2 linked regions of the Kluyveromyces lactis genome follow. The protein of the gene in region 2 interacts with the protein of the main gene of each other region in a pairwise test. Links are inferred from orthologs where the notes say so. Each region holds a gene or a part of one and is shown on either strand. Other genes may lie near its edges.

What was found. The genes of interacting proteins can lie anywhere in the genome.
Region 1: the proteins of PAN3 (region 2) and PAB1 interact in binary tests that used the Saccharomyces cerevisiae proteins (3 or more experiments, as listed by UniProt). The link is inferred for Kluyveromyces lactis from reciprocal best matches to the Saccharomyces cerevisiae genes PAN3 and PAB1.

What each region holds. Positions count from the first base shown.
Region 1 is NC_006039.1:1,551,754-1,555,600, reverse strand, and holds PAB1 (polyadenylate-binding protein), read right to left. Parts: upstream 2,280-3,847; coding exon 501-2,279; downstream 1-500. Other genes in the region: chromatin-remodeling ATPase CHD1, read right to left, coding at 3,134-3,847. UniProt on the Saccharomyces cerevisiae protein: Binds the poly(A) tail of mRNA. Appears to be an important mediator of the multiple roles of the poly(A) tail in mRNA biogenesis, stability and translation.
Region 2 is NC_006041.1:725,846-729,655, reverse strand, and holds PAN3 (PAN-complex poly(A)-binding subunit PAN3), read right to left. Parts: upstream 2,601-3,810; coding exon 630-2,600; downstream 1-629. Other genes in the region: KLLA0_E08075g (SDR family oxidoreductase), read left to right, coding at 2,864-3,295, 3,405-3,761.

The sequences.
Region 1 (3,847 bases), on a different chromosome or scaffold from region 2:
TCTTCATTAAAAAGACTACTAATGTCCTCCCATTAGAGCTTTAGTATTATATAAAACGGGTAGAGTAACAATAATAGTTAGATAGAAAAAATCAGTAAGAAAAAATTTGAAGAGAAAAATGGGGCATACCTCCGGATTGAATTAGCGGTATGGAGAAAGGGTAGAGTGATGTGATGGATTGTGGTAATATGGTATATGTGGAGCGTGGTAATTTTTTTTATTGGTAAAGATTAAAAGCACAACATTTTTGGCAACAATGGAAAGCCTGTGATGAACAAAAAAAAAAAAAGCGAGAGAAAAAGAAGAGTGGCAGAAAGTAGTTTATTTCGACTAGTTTAGGTCTATAACAATGCGTAAGCTAATTAGCACCACCCAGTTCCAATGCGTGAAGCTGAGACTATTCATATAGTTAGCTGTTCGTTTTTTTTTTTAATTTTTCTTTTTCTTCGGGGGAAAGATATAGAAAGGACAAGATGAAGATCAAGGTCAAAAAATCAAGTTTAAGCTTGAGCTTCTTGTTCCTTCTTGAAGTTTTCGTAAGCAGCTAAGGCTTCTTGGAATTGCTGTTCAAATTGTTCGTCGTTGTCCAACAATTGGATGACTTGCTGTGGTGGTAGATCCAAGATCATACCGGTGATCTTACCAGCGGCGTTTTCGTCGTCAATCTTGGCACTGACCTTCTTGTACAATTGTTCACCCAAGGCTTGTCTTTGCTTTTGTTGTTGGATGTAGTGTTGTTGTTGGTGTCTTGGGAATTGGTTTTGAGGTGGCATACCTTGGTACATTGGACCGTTTGGTCTACCAGCAAATTGTTGTGGTGGTGGGACCATACCGTTCTTTGGAATACCGGCACCCATTGGGCCGTTCATACCTGGGTTTGGACCTGGGAAACCTCTTGGGGCCATAACACCATAGAACATTTGTGGCATGTATTGGCCTGGCATACCAGCAGCAGCGGCAGCAGCTTGTTGTTGTTGCTGTTGTTGGAATCTGATTTGGTTTCTGGCTTGAATTTGTTGAGCCAATTGGGATCTTCTGACATCCTTTCTTTGAGCAATGGCAACGTACAATGGCTTACCGGCAACAATTTGTTGGTTCTTTTCGGTCATAGCCTTGGTAGCTTCTTCTGGAGAAGAGAAACAAACGAAACCGAAACCCTTAGAGTTACCCTCTTGGTCTCTCATGACTCTAGCAGAGGTGATGGTACCGTATGGGGCGAATTCTTCCTTCAATTTTTCGTCATCGATGGAATCGTCCAAGTTCTTGATGAACAAGTTAACACCTTGGAACTTAGCCAATTTTTCCAAACGGTATTGTTCGTATTGTTTCTTCAATTCTTCAGCACGTTCGTACTTCTTTTGAGCTCTGCCAACGTACAAAGCTTGAGACTTGAATTCCTTACCGTTCAACTCTTCAACGGCCTTGGCAGCGGCGTTGTGGTCAACAAAGTTAACGAAACCGAAACCCTTTGGCTTACCCTCAGCATCCTTTTCCAAAGCAGCAGAGACAATTTCACCGTATTGGGAGAACAACTGTTCGAACTCTTCGTCAGTGGTTTCAACGTCAATGTTCTTGACGTAAATGTTGGTGAAGTTAGCCTTGGCTTCTTCCAACTTGGAGATACGGTCCTTCTTTGGAACGTGCATGGCAACGTAAACTTCCAAACCGTTCATCAACATACCGTTGACGGCTTCAATAGCATCCTTAGCATCGGATTCTTCCTTGAAATGAACGAAACCGAAGCCTCTAGAGTTTCCATTCTCATCTAAAGCAACTTTACAAGACAAGACTTCACCGAAAGTGGAGAAAGTTTCATGCAAAGCCTTGTTGTCAATGGCTGGGTGCAAGTTCTTGATGAAAATGTTACCAGAACCCTTCTTTCTGATAGCTGGGTCACGTTCGGACCACATAATTCTACATGGTCTACCGTTGATTTCAGCATAGTTCAATTCTTGAATAGCTTTCTTACCAGCTTCGTAATCAGTATAGTTAACGTAAGCGTAACCTAACGAAGCCTTGGTGACGGCATCACGACAAACACGGATCGAGGAAATTGGACCCAATGGTGAAAACACATCGTACAACAATGCTTCAGTAATGTTTGGATCCAATTCACCAACGTACAATGAAGCGTTGTTGTTTTCAACCTTAGAAACAGAAGAAGCTTCGCTTTCAGAAGCAGAAGTGGATGGAGCACTGGCAGATTGAGCTGGTTGCTGATCATCGTTGATCTGCAAGTTTTCCAATTGCTCAGCAGTTTTTTCAGTAATATCAGACATTATGAGATGAGATGAGATGAGATAAATTTAACCGAAAAAGATGGCGGTTGGTTGGTTTTGTAATGTGTTTTTAAAATATATGTTTTTTTATGGTTTTTTAATGTGTATTTTAGTGTATTGTTTTGTTTAATACCCACACAGTTGCGAACCTTTGATGAAACTATTAAGTTTTGATTTAACGATGGATGGAAATGAAAAACCCTTAGTTAACTTGAATTCAAAAAGACTTCTAACTGGAATGTTTTGACTAATATTAAAAAGATATAAACCACGCTTATTCTTTTCTTTTACCAAAAACAATTAAAATACAGGATACAGATGATACCTTTAGAGAGTTTGCTGACTTTGACCGTGGTCTTTTTAAACAAACAAATTGCACAAAATAAAATGTTACAATAACTGAACCAGAAAGGTAATACAAATAAGTAACAAACGAAACAGTATAAACTAACCAAGATAACTAAAAACTTATAACAAATTAAATAAATGAAACAACATCACAAGAACTTATTTAAAATCGTTATATAATTCATCCATCTCTGTGAGAACAGTCCTTAATTGTTGTGATGAGTTAGCCAAAAAGTGAAAATTTTCATTGAAAAATTTAAAGAGTTGAAAAAGAGTTTAAAGCTTTTCCACAAAAGGAAAGGTAGGTACGTGCGAAATGATCTGAGGCATCACCACAACAAACCAGGTATTTTACTAGCAGCCGGCTGTTTCTGGTGCGCCCTTGTGCCTCATGTCATTTATGAAGGTAATAATAACTAATAGCAATATGTTGTTGATTAGATATCTTTTTTTTTTTCGTAAATTGATAGGCGTATATATCTCTATGTTTTGTTACATTTGACTAATTAATGTTCAGAGGCTTTGATTTTGTCGTACATCGCCAGGAGTTTGGAAGATGGGACATCTCTTGGCCAGTAATATGCAGTGAAAGACCATAAATGTCTTTTATATTTTTCTGGAGAGGTCTTAGACGAGTCCTTCTTGTGCGATTCGATGTAGTCACCAACACGTTTCAATTCCTTCTTCAATAGGTTAGCCCATTGCTTACGTTCAAGACCGTCTCCTCCAGATCTTAGACGTTTGAGTGAGCTACGGACGTTTGTCATCGTTTTCTTACACTCTTCTTCGTCCATACTGTCGTATTCTTTGTCAGGAAGACGGATATCGGCTTTTGGTGCCAACGGTATGTCTTTACCTTTCCTCTGCTGTTTTTTCGATCCGACGACAGGCGTACCAGATCTTGATGATGGTTGTTGATGGTGATGGGCCTTGCCACGCTTTGTTTCGGAGCTATTGTCTGGTGTAGAGTCCTTGCCGGTTAAGTTAACACTATTGCCGTCACTTGGGGTACCAGCGGTATGGGCATTTTCGTTCCCATTGCTGTTCCCAGCAGTAGTAGCAGACTTCTTTGGTTTACGTTTGTTTTGCTGAGGCGTCGTGGTTCCGGTTGACGAAGAGCCGGCAGGGTGAGATGGATCAGTTTGGGGACCCTTAGCTTCGTCTCTTAGGACAGTGAATAAGTAATCGACTCTTCTACCGAGATGCACAGCACCGGGAGC
Region 2 (3,810 bases):
AGCTACTTTCATAAGGGGAATAATAAATCGCTTTGTAAACCGAAGCTTATCTATATTTGTTGTACGTTTTTTTTTGTATAAAGAAATAGTGCAAAAATACATATGTCGCAATTGTGTGCAAATTTGCGCAGATGTCCGACGAACTAACACGCAAGGTAACATTACCGCTATGTTTAGTGACAAACACTAGACCGAAATGTTTACCATAGTGGGTCTACTCCGAAGCTCATGAAGGCGTATCGAATCGATGCTTGTTTCGCGTTGTGTGCGTATTTACTCTTACTTTCTTGTGTGCATTGTTTAGCTTTTCGTTTTTAGATAAGAAATGTGTTTACGGTTCTGAAATCTGAATGTCGGAAAAGACCGTTGTTAAAGACGTCGTTGAGGTCTGATGTCAGGATTACAAGATTTTACATCAGTAAGTCCCAACGAACTTGGGAAGTTGACGTTCAGGTAGGAAAGCAGTGCCGTTACACGTGATGTGCAGACGCAATAAGGTGTAAAGTTCTATCTATTAAACTTTCCTTTGGGAAGCAAGAGCAAATCGGAAGAAAAGTGGGTAGTAGTATATGTAAGTTTTTTCAGCTGTTTTTGGTGGGTTTGTTATATAATTTTAGTTTATGTTTACATTATTGTGTTAGCGCTCTGAATGTTGAATCGATCAAATCCTTTAGCTCTTTATAACTTATTATGATGCAGTTCATCTCGTCTGGCGTCACAAGCATTAATCTTTCTGATACGCCTGCATCTAGTTTGTTCAAACATCTCAAGACATGTGTCAAATCCATAACATTTTTGCCAGTGTCATCTTTCTGGTGAAACACATAGTCGAAAAATAGTATGATCGGAAACTTTTCTCCAGACTCTGCCCAATTAATGTCGATACGTGATTCTAACCTACCGTAAATTGCATTTAGTTTGCACATCAAACGGAATAATCTTGCATTTTCTAATTCACGTGAAAGTTGCTGCTCTAGGTATTCGCTATTGTATTGTAACGAATTTACCACTGAAAGAACTTTATGGCTGAAAAGTTTGGTGAAGTCCTCTATATTTTTGTTGTTGTTTGATGTATCCTGGAGGTATTGAATACATTTCTTGAATAAAGGATCTATGTGGTAGGACTTTACGTCGTCTAATGGGCCTGATGCACCGCATAGCCTTTGAACAAGGTTTAATAATAACTCGGCAAGTGATAAGTAATTCTGTTGCTGTTCTGTATGTAACATTCTCCCCTCTTGATGGTAATTTAGCGTGTCATAGACACCGATATCAGTTACTTTTATTCTACCTGGTTCACCAGTTACGATAACTTTTTTCCAGTCTAAATCATTAAGAGCTAGTCCATTAGAATGGACTTCTTGAAGTGCAATTGTCAATTGTACCAAAAATGCCCATAAGTACTCTTGATTTAATTCGTTAACTGAATTGGCAAGCCCATAAGTTTCGTACAACGATTGTGATTGAGGGTAGTAATCAAACACCATACACAACGAGCTATCATTGAACGCAGACGTTACAAACGAATCTTTCAAAACAGTGATATTTGCCGAACGCAGGTGACTCCAAGTTTGGAAAGGTTTAGACACTTGGGCAGAATCAGTTATTTTGACGTCATGAATACGGCGCATGAAATAAATCTTACCGTCAAGATTTGAAAACACCTTGTACAAGGAATTCTTGTGACCATTGTACCTTTTCTTATCAGATGTTCTATTATGGAAATCCATGGGGACCAATCCAAAGTAATCACCAACGATATCCGGTAAGGAACCTCTAGGGAACACCTGAAGCGCAGTTTGATTGTTTTTGACTAATCTATCCCTCAAATGGTTGTTAATGAACAAAGTTTCGGGAGTTCGCTCGTTTGGTTTAAGCGGTATTTTCAGGTGTGGTGGTGGATCTGGAGCATATAAGTGATATTGCAATACAGAATGTGTTGGTGGGTACACTGTTGGAAACTGAGTGATAGGATTTACTGGTAATGCACCGGGTGGTGGTGGTGGAGGTAATCCTTGCATGGGATGACCAACTCCTAGCATGCCGCCTGAGGGCAAACCCGCACTATTCACATAAGGATTCGAAGGCACAGGTGATGGGATAGACGGGTTGGAGCCATGTAGTGTCCCTGCCAGTTCCTGTGAGGAAGGGATACCACCTGCTGACACTGATGGAGTAAAACTCTCTGAGGCATACGGATTGAATGACGGAGCAAACGCCGTTGCATTCGAGTTCATAAGGCTAGGACTCATCGTTCCACTGATCTGTGGCCCATCTGCCAACATTGGTTGATCATTGACTGGTGCACCTGGCTGAAATGCAGGAAGCGAAGAGAAGTCTGGACTCCTTACAGCTGGAGATTTTCCTGGCGTAAAACTAGAACTTGTCTTAGCATTGAACTTCACGTTAAGCGGAGTCATTGAGCGCTGCGTTGGGACCTCGTCCGTTGTTTGACCCTCTGTTTCTTTGCTGTTTCCATGATTAAATTGGCATCCTTCGTTTTCAAACTTACAATATCCATGAATGATAATATTTCTACACTGGGTTCCTTTGAAGGAATCAGGCCGGTTCCAGTTAGTGCCTGATGCTGAACTGATCATGCGTGGTCGTGTATCTTGATAATCTCAAGTATATATGGAACTCTCTATCCGCTATAATCCCACAATAATCCTCCGGTTATAATAACGTGAAAATGCCCATGTACGTTATTTACATACATTATGAAAAACCGTTAACTATATAAACTTTCTAATCGCAATTTCTAACCTTTGTACCATGAACGAGAAGGAAAGTGTGACATTGTAAGAAGATAGGTATTAATAACAGCACTAGTTTAAGCCATCGTAGATCCATTATAATTGAAATGTCAAAGGTGTTTTTAGTGACAGGTGTTTCTAGAGGAATTGGTTCTTCCATTGTGGAGAAGTTATGTTCTATTGAGACGACTAAAATCGTAATAGGAATTGCAAGATCAAAGGATAAACTTGAGGAGCTGAAAACTCAATACAGTGGGAAGTTTGATTACATTTGTGGTGACGTGTCTGATGAAGAAACTATAACTGAAGCTGTCAATTTCATTGAGTCGAAATACAAGAGACTAGATGGTATTGTTGCCAATGCGGGAGTTTTGGATCCTGTGGAAGATGTTAATAATATACATATTTCCAAGTGGAAACAGTTGTTTGATATCAATTTCTTCAGTGTTGTTTCCTTGGTCGGCCACGCATTGCCCTTGTTGAAACAGAGTAACGGTAACATCGTACTTGTCAGCTCAGGTGCCAGTACAAAGTCATACGTATGTATACCCTTAAATTTCATTCTAAAACGAAGAAAAGCCGGATTGGCATACGGCAGAACCCGATTTACTAACCAAAATAGTTCCCAAAACTCTACCTGCTTCCAAGGTAATGTGGAAAATATATGATCAGTACGGATGGGGTGCATATGGAGCTTCTAAGGCAGCATTGAACCACTTTGCTGCCACAATTGCAGCAGAAGAGCCAGCTGTTAAAGCAATCTCAGTTGCGCCTGGTGTCGTGAAAACCAAAATGCAAGAGGATATCAGAGAAACCTTTGGACCTAGTGGTATGACAAAGGAAGCCCTGCAACGGTTTGTTGATTTACATGACAATGACCAATTGTTACCTCCAAGCGTTCCCGGTACCATTTATGCCAATTTAGCTTCCAAAGGGATTCCTTCTGAATTGGATGGCGCTTACCTAAGATACAACGACGAAAAATTGAGAAGTTTCTCGGAGTGAATCTATCTCGCTGCCAGTGTTCATTGCAAACGATTTTTCTGTGCGTCTC